Linked DNA regions of Caenorhabditis elegans. The protein of the gene in region 1 interacts with the protein of each later gene in a pairwise test. Each region holds a gene or a part of one and is shown on either strand. Other genes may lie near its edges.

What was found. The genes of interacting proteins can lie anywhere in the genome.
Region 2: the proteins of vps-45 (region 1) and rabs-5 interact in a two-hybrid assay, tested with the Caenorhabditis elegans proteins (one study listed by BioGRID).

Annotation. Positions count from the first base shown.
Region 1 is NC_003284.9:969,349-977,292, reverse strand, and holds vps-45 (Vacuolar protein sorting-associated protein 45), read left to right. Parts: upstream 1-2,444; 5' UTR 2,445-2,540; coding exon 2,541-2,633; intron 2,634-3,024; coding exon 3,025-3,223; intron 3,224-3,270; coding exon 3,271-3,335; intron 3,336-3,509; coding exon 3,510-3,685; intron 3,686-4,255; coding exon 4,256-4,751; intron 4,752-4,798; coding exon 4,799-4,888; intron 4,889-5,409; coding exon 5,410-5,502; intron 5,503-5,551; coding exon 5,552-5,658; intron 5,659-6,009; coding exon 6,010-6,132; intron 6,133-6,178; coding exon 6,179-6,328; intron 6,329-6,517; coding exon 6,518-6,569; 3' UTR 6,570-6,710; downstream 6,711-7,944. Other genes in the region: Protein abhd-3.2, read left to right, coding at 22-351, 402-575, 864-1,011, 1,060-1,126, 1,390-1,553; C44C1.6 (Neuropeptide-Like Protein), read left to right, coding at 7,152-7,254, 7,914-7,944.
Region 2 is NC_003282.8:8,102,905-8,110,026, reverse strand, and holds rabs-5 (FYVE-type domain-containing protein), read left to right. Parts: upstream 1-2,426; 5' UTR 2,427-2,428; coding exon 2,429-2,485; intron 2,486-2,861; coding exon 2,862-3,059; intron 3,060-3,104; coding exon 3,105-3,351; intron 3,352-3,724; coding exon 3,725-3,886; intron 3,887-3,975; coding exon 3,976-4,390; intron 4,391-4,440; coding exon 4,441-4,863; intron 4,864-5,350; coding exon 5,351-5,546; 3' UTR 5,547-5,702; downstream 5,703-7,122. Other genes in the region: Y42H9AR.4 (ELM2 domain-containing protein), read left to right, coding at 3-86, 466-1,052, 1,527-1,727; Y42H9AR.5 (FMRF-Like Peptide), read right to left, coding at 5,816-5,953, 6,092-6,264.

The sequences.
Region 1 (7,944 bases):
ATTTCATCAAACTATTTCCAGAGAAATAGTAGAGTTCGACGATGGTGGTGCAGCTGGAATAGACTGGTTGATCCCTGAAGGTGCTGATGACACCACCCCAATTGTCGTTTTCTTGCCGGGAATCACAGGAAGTACTCATGACAGCAGCTACGTTCTCCATCCTGTCAAAGAAGCAAGAGATAAGGGCTGGAAGTGTGTGGTCGTGAACCCACGAGGACTTGGTGGTGTTAAGCTGAGAACTACTAGGACGTACAATGCCGCCACTCCACATGATTTTGCGTTCATTGCTAAGATGATTAATGAAAGATATCCGGATGCAAAGAAGCTGGGATGCGGGTTTTCCATGGGAGGGTGAGTGTAGTTTAGGAGCTAAAAAGATTCAGCAACACGCTTATTTTCAGAATGATTCTCTGGAACTATCTAGCGATGACTGGAGAAAATGCAGATCTGGACGGAGGCATGATTGTTTCTTCTCCGTGGGATCCCCTTGTTGCTTCTGATTCTATTGAATGCTTTATTCCACAACTTATTTTCAACAGCTTTATTGCAAAGAACTTGGTAGATATGGTGAGACCGTAAGTTTTGATGTTTTTTCGTTTATATTAGTAAGGTGTTTATTTTTAATATTTTAAATCTGATGACTTTTAAACAACAAACGTAGTTGGTATAAAAAATTGGCATTGAGAAAATTTGAGGAGACATGAGCAGGCCCTGTGCTCAAAGAGCTGGCAAGCTTCTCATTAAGTGATTGGTTTTTGCGCGTTAATTTGAAGCAATTCCTTTACGCCCAAATTTTTAGTATTTCCTGCTAAGCTATTAATGAACCAAACCCCTGAGTTCATAAGTAGCTCCCACAATTCCAGGTACCGCGAGCTATTCAAAGATATGGTGGATTTTGACGAAGTGTGCAGATGCAATACGGTTAGAGGGTTTGATCGATCTTTTGTGATTCCCATGTATGGGTTCAAGAGTTGCGATGACTATTACAGACAGGCTACTTTGGCGACAAAGGTAACATTTGAAACTTGGTTTGTAAAAATTTGAAAAATCAATTTCCAGGTAGACAAAATCAAGATTCCATGTGTAACACTGAATTCTGTTGATGATTATTTCAGCCCGGTGGAATGTAAGTTTTGGTTTGAACAGCTTTGAAAACTAATGTTCATATACAAACATGAGTGCTTGCTACGTTTCTCTAGTTCATAATTAGACGTGTTTGCTCTACGGTAATAACAGCAACCGACACATTGCGGGTTGCAAAAAATTATAAAACGTGTGGAATTTTTATGAAATATATATTAAATATGTAATTGAAAAGCTAGTTTTCTAATTACATTTTTTAAACAAAATACCAAATTTAATAATTATTCATACATTTCCCCTATTTAGGCATCCCTACATTAGATATAATGGAGAGCGACTACGTTTGCGGTATTATCACCAATCACGGAGGACATACTGCTTTCATGGAGTCTGCTGATCCAAATGCGCGCGGAATGGTGGAAAAGTTGCTCTCGCAATGGGGAAATATGATCTTCCATGATTATTCATGAGCTTTGATGGATTGTGCAATGTTTTCAAATTATACGTATTATTTTTGTATTATTAGGACTATTACACTTTTTGAACAATATCAGGTTTTTCAGTACATCCCGGTTTTTTATTATTATTGTGATTTTAATTTAATTTTTTAAATGTGCAAAGAGTTAATGGTTGCAGATATGACTAGATGAAACTCTTTTTTTGTCAAATAAAAACTTCAAACACGAATTGAAAATAGTGTAAAATTAATATTTGGCTGCAGTTTCATGTGAACGAAAAATTGTGTTATGTCCTTCAAATTAGAACCAGCCACCTTGCATTGAATAGTCATAAATCTGTGAAGTTTGCGTTAAGCTGGAGCTTTGGTAAAACCCTACCATAAGTACAGGGAACAATTTTGAAAAGCTCTGATACGAGTTAATTATTTTAGTACCAGCCGTGGACCGCACCTACGGCGCGGCCCCCGACTTTTTTGAGAAAACACATTAGATATACGGTGTCTATCGCGGACCTCGATCGATGTCTGCTGCGCATTTAGCATAAGGTTTCCCAAAATTTCGTTGCTCTGATCGGAGATCAAACTACATAGGGACAGAAGGACACGCGCTTTATATATAGTAAATGATAATTGTTGTCCTAGTACATCACGCATACGGATAATAATTCTTATACATATTTCATAGACTTTTGTTCAGGACCAAGTTAGTATAATGAAAAATTGGAGAAGATTCAGTTTTCTTCAGATTTTCTCCGACAGAATGCAAATTCTCCTGCTCTACTTCTGCTCCACTTTTCCACTTTTTCCATCTTTCCTCACTCTCCACAGCCTTCCTCCGTCTACGTCTCCACTAGCCTAGCCATCTCTCAAAATCGATGCTGGCACTGGACACTCACCCGACGCGGTGACAGAGACGGCCGCGGCCTAGAGTTCTCCATTTCTTTTCTTTTACCATATGTTTTTATACACGTTGGCCACTAGCTCTTTCTACTAATCAACCATGGATCTCGTGCAGTCAAGCCGAAAATTGATACAGGACATGATCCAACTTGCCGGCTCGCAGATGAAATTACTACTTATGGATGGGGAAACAGTGAGTTGATTTGAAAGTGTAAAAATGTAATTATTCGGTTAGGAAAAATAATTAAAACTTGTGTCAAAAAGTTATACTAAAACGTAAATTAACAACACGTTTTGCAAATTTTTCAGTAACATTTATGTCTATTTTTGAATTACTTAATCTAACAAAATAATAAATAATAAATATAATAAACACTTAAAATATAGAGGAAATCCAAAAATGAGCAAAACGTATTGTATATTCACAATAGCCTAAATGTTTATTATGAATTTATATCAGCTATAGATTTTTAATAAAGTTAATGCTTAGATTAGTATGAAAAATCATATAAACATACAATTTTAAATGATGAGTAGTTTTTTCACACGTTTTCAAATAAAATCAACGCTAAATTTTTTTCCAGACTCCAACAGTGTCATGCGCATTTGCGCAGTCGGAGGTGATGCAAAAAGAAGTTTATATATTCGATAGAATTGAGAACAAGACCTCATCTGAAAACATCAAAAACTTGAAATGCGTGGTATTCGTCCGGCCGACACCCAAAAATATTGAGCGACTGGTGAAAGAGCTCCAGGAGCCAAGATTCAGCCAGTACTATCTTTGTGAGTTTACAGAAAAAATACTAGTTTTCAATGAATATGCTTTTCAGATTTTACAAACACAATCAACAAATATGATGTGAAGCGGCTGGCTGAAGCAGACAAAAATGAGACTGTAAGTAGTACTTTTTATTATGGACAGAACTAATTTTCAAGCTGCGTGATTAAATTATGAGAATCAGAAAAAGATTTATTGCTTTCCGACAATAACTTAACGATGCAAAAAACTTTTAAGCAATACTAATACGCTATAGGATATGTCAATAGTGTATTTTTCAACAAATTCCAGGTGCGTGAGGTTCAAGAAGTGTTTCTAGATGGAGTTCCTATTCGTAAAGACTTGTTCACTCTCAACTTGACACACATCTTCGACTCATCATTCACGTTGAAAGAAGAAGCCGCTGAAAGGATCAAGTGCGGAATTATTGCGCTATTGTTGCAGTTGAAAAAGGCTCCAGCTGTTCGGTGAGAGTTTTGAAATTTCTAATTTGAAAATTGGTAAAGGATTGCGGACATTGACCTTTTTTTTGAAATTTTGGTTATTTATTAGTCATGTTCATGCTTTTTTATAAAGGTATCTCAATTTAGAGAGTGTTCGCAGCTTTTAATTCTAAAGATTGATTCAATTTCTCTAAAACTGATCCCTAAAATATACGATTGAGAAAAAAAATTCATTCGTTTGTTTTTGTCTTTGGTCTACAAGTAGTATCCAATTGCGTGACTGCTTTTGTTTTTCGTCTTGTACCCAATTTCCTTGTTCTAAACAAAAAGAAGTCTTTACCCCAACAATACGATTGTATGATAAATTAATTTGCACATATACATACATATCATAACTATCGCGCAGCTGAAAATTGGCACTACATCGCTTGAGCAGAAGTGTGCTGCAATCAGAAATTTTTGGCAATGCTTGTAATTGTTAGACATAACACGCTGTAGTTTTGTTTTTATTGTAATCTGGGAGCTGCTACATGCGAAAAACTGTATGCAATTGTCACTACTTTGTTGCATACTTTTACAATGTTTTTTTTTCAGATACCAAAAGTCTTCACCGAGTTGCAAAAAAGTGGCCGATGATGTAGCACAATTCATTCGCCGGGAAAACGGGCTTTTCGAAAACTCTAGAGCTGACACCACTCTTCTGATTATTGAAAGATCCCAGGACGCGGTGACTCCTCTGCTCAACCAATGGACGTATGAAGCGATGATCCATGAAATGCTCACATTGACAAATAACAGATGCACATGTACTGATCAGAACATTGTGCTCAGCGAGCTTCACGATGAATTTTTTGCGAGAAATATTACTGCCAACTTTGGAGAAATCGGGCAAAATATCAAGACGTTGATCAGCGAGTTTCAGGAGAAAAAGCATATTAACAAGAATTTGGAGTCGATTCAGGATATGAAAAAGTTTGTGGAAGACTATCCACAGTTTAAGAAGATCAGTGGAACAGTGTCGAAACACGTCAGCCTTGTAGGCGAACTTAGTAATCTTGTTCAGAAGCATAATTTATTAGGAGTCTCAGAGGTAATACAGTTTAAAAAAACGTGTCAAAACGTAGAAAGTGGTTTCAGGTAGAGCAGGCAATTGTGTCAGATGGGGATCATGGCAAATGTATCAATCTTGTTCGAGGACTGCTGAAAAATACGAAAACCAGAGAAGTGGTGAGTAACAGTAACATACACCGCAAAAAAATCCGGAATGAACATTTTTAGATTCTGAATGCCAAAACAAACACGAGAAAATACTGAGATTTGTTATCGCAAATGACCAATTACCGTATTTCCTTTATTAGTCTTGCATGCAAAACTAATTTTCAATTGGTCCGTAGGGGTGCAAGACTAATAGAGGCTGCAAGACTAATAGATGAAATACGGTATATATTTTCGCCAACGTGGTGCTCAGGAAAGGATTTTGTTTCCTGTATCCTATAATTTTAAGTAAATTCATTAGCTACTTTAAAATTAGATACTACAGCTTCAACAAACTAGGAAAAATAGCTGGTCATTTAGTCAGTGCAAACATAAGTTTGGTCAGTGCATACGCAAATTTTTTTTTTCAAGGCACACAACACTGAAGTGTGTGCTATATTTTTAAAAAATTTATTTTGTTAAATGATACATAGAAGTATATAATTATATTTTTAATTGAATTTAGTTATCACGATCAGTACACCCATTTTCAGGACATCATCCGTCTTGTGCTTCTCTACGCTCTTCGTTTCGAAAACGCACCCGGCAACGAATTAAACTCATTGATCAGTCAACTCAGACCACAGGTAGGCAACTGGTGTATTCTGGGTTTAAAAAAATTTCATGCTTTTTCAGCATCCAAAAATCCATCAAACGGTGTCGACGCTGCTCAAATATGGTGGACTTTCAAGGAGACCTGCCGATTTGTTTGGTGGTGAATCGACTATTGACATTACGAAGAGGTGAGCAACAGTGAATCAGCGTAATCAAATATTTGGGCTGAAATCTGGGCTTAGTTTCGGTTGATTTGGCGGCTTCAGCAATTTCTGATTTGGTTCAATTTTATCCGTTACTAGTTGTCTAAATCAGAATTTCGAATTAATTTTTGTCTACAGTAAGCAAATTTAGCGATTAAAAACTGCTTTATTTATAAAAGAATTACAAATGAGTTTTGCAACAAAAAATATTAATTCATTTGACCAGAAATTTATTGACACCTCTAATAATTTGACAAAACTGACTGAACATTAGTAGCACTAAAGAAAGACTCAAGATTTACAAAAGGTACATGGTATTCTACCTATAATTTTCAGGTTCATCAAAGGACTCAAAGGAGTTGAGAACATTTACACCCAGCATTCGCCGTATCTCAAGAACATGATCGAGTCTTGCCAGCGTGGGAGGCTTGACAACTACCCGCTTCTTAGCAATGAATGGTAAGTTCTAGATCTACTATAATGCTTCAAGCTACTCAATTTTCAGCGACCGAATGGATAATATTATTGTGTTTATTGTGGGTGGAGCCACATATGAGGAGGCGGCTTATGTGAGAAGCTTGAATGAAAAGCGGATGCAAGGATACGGAGGGCCTGCTGTTGTTCTAGCTGGGAGTAGCATGCTAAATACAAAATCGTGAGTATACAGGCTTTAAAATGAAACCACGTCCCCGGTAAAAAATGTTTTGGCTAAGCGGGCAGACATTAAGCAGTAATTCTGTCGTTTTTCGATTAATGGGTATACTTAATGCTATAATACTAATTTCAATTGGCTATTGCATTTGTTATGGTTCTGTAGTGAATGGAAAATAAGTTAAATTTACAGATTCCTCGAAGAGTTTGCCAACGTCGACAAAAATACGGGAGCTGTTCACTGAATATCTCAAAAGTTTCAAAACTTCTCGCAGAGTCTATTTATTGATTTAATTGAATTGTCATCTTTTCTTGTGATATATTGAGCTTCTTTATGAAATTGCTTTTTTTAAAATGAATATGTACTGTGTACAGTGCCACCACTAACGGTCTCCCTATTGGCTCAGCCGCTGTTAAGCCGTGGAGAGGCCTACCGCTTGGCTTTTGAGTAAGTTGAAGCATGTTTGGAAGCTTTTTGATCAACCGAATTTACCAGAGGCATTTACAAAGAAACACTTTTTCAAAAATATTTCCTATACGTGAATTTATCATTTCAAAACCGTGTCGTTTTGAAAACCCAAACACACCCAAAAATAGTGTGTGTCCTTTGCCAATAGTGAATAACAGATATATGCGCTAATTTGCTAACCAAACTGGCGCCGTTTCGTTTATACTGTCAGTGAATTGTAGTGTTAGGTGGTGCGTGACTGGCTGACCAAGACAACAAAAATTCTTGATATCATTCGTCAAGAGAAACAAAACCTTAAAGCGAAACACCTTCGAAAAACCTTTTTAGTGTGATTTATCACTTGACTTCAACTTGAACAATGGACTACTACTTCAAACTTATCTCTGTAGTTTTTATCGTAATTTTGGCTATCCAATCGCAGGCTTTTCCCATTGAAGAGACTTCGCTAGGAAGTATTAATGGTACGTTTAATGCACTGCTACAGTTTTTGAAACCAACTTTGAGCATTGATCAAATTGCAAGCTTGCAATCAGCCCATGAAAACTGAGTGTTTTAAATTTTAGCCAAGCGGTTTGTGAAATTTTTTAACGTTCAGTGTAGAACGTGTCCCGCGCGAAATTTAATTTAGTTAGTGCGACATTTTTTTTGTGAGTGTAAAAATTAAATAGACATACACGAAATATTCTTGATAAGTGCAAAATTTGATTTGGTGAGTGCAAATTTTATCGGCAGCGCAGAGATTTTTGGTCAGTGCATAGATGATTTTTCGAATTAATGTGGAAGCCGTTTGACCGAAGCAAATTTTTGCTAGAGCATAATGTTAAGCCTTTTTGTTCATAGCATAATGTTCTAGGTTAGTGCAGAGGTTGGGAAGTACTATTTATTTTGTAGTGCAGTGATAAATTTGTGTCAGTTCTATTGGTTTCGTCAGTGCAGGGATTTAGCTTGGTCAGTGCAAATTTTCAACTCGGTCAGTGCCAATGTTTTTTATCAGTGTATTTGGATAATATCAATTTTGTCGTCTCAATCAAAACCAGGTTAAAAAAATGTACTCATGAAACTCAGACACCAGTCCCTCATTAACCCACGCAAAAAATTGAGTTTTTAAATGAGTTTTTAGGAACATCCGTCATCGCAATAACACATGGCAA
Region 2 (7,122 bases), on another chromosome or scaffold:
AGGCGCCAAACTCGAAATTGACACCGAATCTGAGGATGAAATTGAATATAGTAATGGCCATTCACACCGTGGAACTTCTTCAAGATGTAAGGGATTTTTATGTATGATTTATTGCAATAAAACCTATTTTATTCGGAAAATATATCTGTAGCATAAAATTGAAAAATATCACGGAAATTATTTAAGAGATTTTCTAAATTGTTCCTCTATAAAACTTCGTTACTTCATCAATAATTATGATCCTTTTTAAAATCATGAAGATTGTGGGATCGATGCTAAATTTTTCCTTTCGAGTGAAAACTGAAGAAATTCCAAATTTTGACGTAGTAAAAAAGTAAGATTCTGAAAATAAATATCGATGTTCTCTGACTTTTTTATCTGAAACTATTCTTAAAATTAAAAAAATTGAACGAAATTCCAAGTTGCTTAAATAATTTTTTGTCACTCGAATATTTTGAATTTCAGTGCATTCTCCTCGTCAAGTGAAGAAAGAAAGAATGGATGATGAATACGAAAAAATGGCAAACGGGCATTCTTCGTTAACAAACGGAGTGAATGGACACTCTAAAGGACCAACATCACCAAAACGAAAAAATGGAGATATTAGAAGTTACTTCAGTGCTACACCAAAACCTGCAACAACAACAAATACACGAAAACTTAGTGAAAATGGATCAGAGGACATTGAAATGCCATCAGATATTGAAGATTTTGATGCGAAAGCAGTTGGTTCTCGAATAGTTGCAAAATTAATTGCAGGAGGTATTCTCCCTGATTCAAGTGCTCATATCTTTGAGCAAATGACACAGGAAAACTATGAAGATGGAAATAGTGCTGGAGTATCAACAAAAGTTGAAATGAGTGAAGAAGGAAAAGATGATGCAGAAGATCAAGAGATTGGAGAACTTGCAGAAGAACTCCAAAATCTCCAAATGAATCTAAAAGAAGAAATGGCTGCTAAAAATGCTCTTTTCATGTTAACGTGGCGACGAGCTAAAGCTCATTTTGCTTTCTTCCACACGTTTAATGAATTGAAAAGAGGCGATTATGATGTAAGTTTTTTTTTATTTTTAAATTTAACTATAAATTTTAATCGTTAGAAGTTTTCAAGAACTAGCGAACTTAAAAAGATTATAAAAATTTTGAATAAATTATAATTTTTTTTGGTTAATGAGCTCAGGGCTGCCGATCTTTTAACCGGAGAACGCAAATTTTTCGGTTTTTCAGAAAATCAAAAAAAAACATTATGGTTCCCGGTTAGAAAACGTGATGTTTCTTGCTGCATCCTGCTGCATGGAAATATATTTTTCTAAAGAAACCCGAAGATTTTTCGAATAACCGAAAATTTTCGTTTTTAAGTTTTTCGATTTTTTAGTCTTGCTTTAAAAAAACCGAAAAAACCGAACATTTCTTTAAATATTCTTATTTTTGCATTAAACCAACAACGTATTTTCACATATTTTTTTGTTGAATGTTTTCTCGAAAATTAAGATAATTTGAAATTTTTTAAAATAAATAATTTACAGTTATTCAAACTTGGTGTCAACATGTATCGCGACTTCCCGAATCGAAAACTTCCTGGAATATCAGAAACTATTCTACTAAAACATTCACTCCGAAAACGTAATCATCTTGCTCGAACCCACTACAGTAAAATGTATCGTCGCCATCCGAAATTCCGTTGGCATCGTGACCATTTGCCAGCTGGAAGACGTATTGATGCCTGATAGTGTATATCAAAAATAATTTATTTTCAATTTTTTCTGTCAAAAACCCAATCATTTTCTTTCAAAATTTCATATGATTTTGCTTTGTTAATTTTTTTGTTTCGACATGTCTTTTTTTCAAAACGAGATCTCCAAAGTAACATTTTTGTGTAAAATATTAAGATTGTAATATTTATTTTATTATTCTATACCCGGGTCCCTTCTTTTCGTGTTCCTCTCTCACCTCCCAAACAGATCCGAAAAAACTTGAATTGAGCCCCCAATTATTTCAAATCAAAAACCGAATCATATATCATAGACCATCAAACATTATTTCTTTTTCCATTTATATTTCTTTCATGTATTTTCCAAATTGCACATTCTTCAATGACGGTCCTGCTCTATTGCGATTGAGATGCTCTCAAAAAAAGTGTCTTTGGGTAGCACAATAAACGACGAATTTTTGAAAATTGCTAATTCTGTAAATATCATAATTTATTTCTTACTGAGCACTTACACATAACATATCTGAACAATAAATATTGTTTGACAAATAATTGATTGCTCTTCTTCTAGTTGTTTTTGGTTTCTGCCATTGTTATTATTGACGTGGCAGTGCCGATTTTATTCATTTACGAGGAGGAGAACGACTACTTTATGTCGTCCCGTCTGCGTCTCTTCTGAATAAATATCACCAATTCGCTTTTTTTTTCTTGGCAGAAATGATTGGAGCAACTGGTTCAGGTGGAACAGGAGGACATAATGATGTGGTTAGACAGGTTAGTTGGGTTTTATTTAGTTTGAAAAAAGTGAAAAGAGTACTGTAATTTCAAATTTTATTGCTGCGGAATTTTCATAGATTTTTTTAAAGTTATGCTTTTTAATTTTTTTTTTTTTTCAATAATTTAATATATTTATTATCAGCGAAAAACTATAAAAAATTAATTAAAATTTCTCAGAATAAAAATTTAGGAATTACAGTACTCTTTAAAGGCGCACAACTGTTTGTATTTAACAAAGATTGTCGTCTCGAGACCGGGTACCGTATTTCTGGAGCCAAAATCACAAAAATTGTGAAAAGGATAGCAAACTCGAAAAACTGAAATTAAAAAACTAAAAAAAAAGAAGAGTCATTAATATTTCTAATTTTCAAAGGGTTTCATCTGTCCATTTTGTATGGAAGACTTTGGAGAATACGAACGACTCATTTGCCACGTGGAAAATGATCATCCGGAAGAAGATAGCAGTGATTTGGCTGGAATGTTTGTGTCAAATGTTAAGGGATTTTTTGATAAAGCTAAGCGAGGAATTCAGAAATTGGATGCGAAGAAAAGTATCGCAGATCTCGCAAGTGTAAGTTTTGGCTGAAATAACAAAATATTCAATTTTAAATTTCAGAATGTCGAAACAGAATTCACTGAAACTACTGAAAAGCTTGTCGAAAGAGCACCTCTTCCAAGAATTCCAAAACCTCTTCCTCCTGATGAAATTTTACCGGGAACTCGGAGATCAAAAACGAGAGAATTCTTATCAACAAGAGAATTAAATATAAATGAAGTGGCTGTTCGAACGAATATGCTTATTATCAGGCTTGATAGGCTTATTAATGGAGGACCAAAGGATAAGGATCCAGTTAAAAGAAAAGGTATAAAACCACTTTTAAAAAAATTGATGGATAAAAAATTTCGATATTTTTTATTAAAAATTCTCCCGAATTTTCCAAGTAATCAAATCACTAAATAAAATCATCACTAAAAAAAATTTTTTTTTAACACTTATAAAATTTTCCAATTTGAAAACACATTTGAAAAAGGTTTACTAGTTTCAATATCCAAAAAAAAATAATATGTGAAAAGTTTCCACTTTCAATTTTTCCGATAATCTACTCAAAGCATATTAAGCTTCTCGCGAGAAGGTTGCTTCTGCCAAGTTACACATCCAATATTCCAATAGTTCTCAAAATAACTAAAAATCTAAAAGTTTTTTATAACAATATCCAATACACTCGTTTCCAACAGAATTTGAACGAGAAGTTGTTCCATGGTTAGATGATGCTGAAGCAGTATGTTGTCCATTGTGTGCTTCTCGATTCGGTCTCACTAGACGACGTCATCACTGTAGATTGTGTGGAAGGGTTCTTTGTCATTCGTGTAGCAAATTTCTTTCGTTTGACACTGCAAGTGAGTCATTTTATTTAAATTTCAATTTCAAGGGGTTATCAGAAAATGAGATTTGTCGAATAGTTTGCAATATATAAAATAAATTTCAGAAACACTCACAAGTTCTTCAAATCCTCTCGGGGACACCCATATAATTGTTGAAGAGCCGAATACTGTAGAAAATGAACAAGAACTTCTACAACCGGAAGAAAATGGACGTAGATCATTTTTCTCGTTATCTCAAAAATCGATGGATAAGATGAAACGAGCAATGGCTGGAGCTGTTCAAAAAGTTCATTCTGCAGCAACTGGAGAGGAAATTATAGCAGGTGCACTAAATGAACAAGATCTTTCTGAACATATGAGAGTTTGTAATCTATGCCTTCGAGATTTACATTTCCGAGAAAGTCAAATGGATAAAAAAGAACCGCCAGAATTTGTACAACAATATGATCTAATGAAAGTAATGATTGAGGAAGTGAAGAATCTTGTGCCAACTTATGTTCGAGTTGTCACCAGTTTGAAGTAAGATTATAATTTAATTGAATAGTTTTTGTAATTAATATTCTTTTTAGAAATGGTGAATCTGTATATAGTCATAAACATGGTGAAGAATTACGATCGAAATGTCTAGAAATTCAAAAGAGTATAGATTATGTTAGCAAGAAAATAGCGGAAGGAGCAAATGATAAACCGAATTCTGCAAAAGAGCAACAATTAAGAAAGAATATTCGATTATATGCAGTCCAAGCTCTTCAAGGTCTTATTGGTCAAATGGAATCCCTACCAACAGCCGAAGAATGCTCGAATCTGATAATAAAAAGAAAAGAAAGACGAGCTAAGGATTTTGCAAGAGTAAACAGAACTGTGATGAAGATGTCAAGTTCAATGCCACAACTACAGGAACAACATTCACACTTAAACAGTACAAGCAGTGTATCTTCATTTGGAGGCCCATCATCGATTGACGATGGATGGAGTGCGGAAGATAATGATCTGTAAGTTTAAAAAAAAATTTTTTAGAATCATATTCTGAACGTTTGTTTGCATATTTTTATATCCATATGCAAAACTAATATTTTGAGTACGCAGAAAAAAGATCCGCTTTTGAAATCGACGTGGAAACTCGCTTCATAGCAAATTTGAAACGCGCCGCCTCGGAACCATGGGTCTCGTTAGGTATCTGTAAAACCGTAAACCCTGAAATTTTTTAAAAAAAACCTCATTCACTTTTCATCTTCACATGTAACTATTTTTAAAAATCATTTCGGCATAAAAAGCATTAAAACATGAAGAAAAGACGAAAAGTTTGAATTTACGGTTTTGCCACCGAATACCTAACGAGACCCATGCTTCGGGGGCGAAGCTTTTTAAAACGACCGTGAAGCGCGTTTCTACGTCGATTTCAAAAAAGTTTTTGCGACCCCATGTAATAGCTACGCCTTTCTTGAAGTGAATTCGCCAAATTTTATCGCTTCTTTTGAGTTCCAGAGTATTCGAGCCGAGTTCAATCGAAGATGATACAATACAAACGGATCATCCCTTGTATGAGCAACGAGAACAACTTCGGAAGTTTTTATTTCAAGCATCAGCAACAGGAAAACTCGATGAGATGGACATCTTGGAGAGAAATCTCAAGGAAATTGAAGAAGAGATGATGCGTCTTGGACTTTCATGTTAATAATACAATCCAGTCAATTTAAAGCACGCGATTCAAACTGTGATATAATATTTTTCTATTTGCATATTTATGATTTTTTTAAATATCTGTGATCTTCAATGTTTCCTTTTTTAGAAATTTCAATTTTGCAATATATTCTGATCTTTGAATAAATTTTACATTGTAGTTAGATTTTATTCATGAATGATTGTATGCATTTCAAATGATAGAATAATAACGACCCGAAACGACGAAATGAGACCAATTGGAAAGTAATAGGAAAAAGAATATTAATAGAGTCCACCACGGCCTCTCGATCTGAGAATTGAGTTTAAGCTGGGCTGTGGTCGCACTGGAATGGCTATTCCGTTTTCATCAATGAATACTTCATTTATTTGTTGGCCATATGTCCAACGACGGGGAATTACCTGGAACAAGAAATATTAGAAACCGAAAAATAAGTATGTTGCAAAATATAATTTTGACTTATTTCACGCATGGTTTTACAGTTAGTTAGTAATTTTTTGAAGCGACTTTTAGAAGACGCTCGGATTGGCCTCACTTACCGGCCTTCCTGCAACTGACGCAATCGGGCGTATAAAACTTTTGTCTTCAATATGAATTCTGGATATCGAATCAGATTCTATTCGGGCTTCATCTGGATATGGACCAAGTCTTGTCTGTGTTCTACGCTCCTTTAGCTTCCGATACAATCCTTGCATAGTCAATGAAGAACATTCTGAAATTTATTTGATACTTAATACATACTTATTTTATTTTAAAATTTTATCTTTTTGACCTATTTTGAAGATATTCTGCTAAAACCACCACTTGCGGAAGTCCTACTAGTACGAAAACCAATGTAAATGTGTAAATTCGTTTCAATTGACTGTGACCCCTTCCTGCTTCAAAAACATTTCATAAATGTCAGATTCTGAATATAAATCTAGTTACGATGACAGATCGGTTTGATGATAAGAAATGATTGAAATGATGAGATGAGACTTTGTACGTTTATCGATGAGTATTTGAACCGAAACCGATTCTTTGGTTTTTCAGTTTCTCGATGCAATGATCAGAAGACGGAAAAAAATGTTCATTGGAATTGTTGTTGTATCATTCATTTAACTTATCAAAACTTGTCACTGAAAACAGAGAAAAAACGGTTCTACGAAATGGCGAACAGGTTTTCGACACGTTGAAAGCATCATTTGATAGTATTTTATTGAACGATCAGGTATAAGAGATTGGGTGTGGTTTATTGATTAAATGTAGTTTAATAGAGTTTAGTTAGGATTATTGAGTTAAACTGGATACGGAGATATTTATTGTTAAACAATAATTATTGTATCATACACTGCAACTTATCATTTTTCGCTCTATTAGACTTGCACCCCTAGCCCCACTTTGACAGCTCGAATCTGGGGTTTCTCTGGTTTTATCACAAGTTATCAACTGGCAAAATATTCGGAAAGTACATGGTTATCTACATTCTGACAATTAAACATTTTTAGTAAAGCGTAAGACAACCGAAATAATAGTCGTCAAAATAGAGCAATGGGGATGAAAGTCTAACAATAAAAATAAGGTATACAAA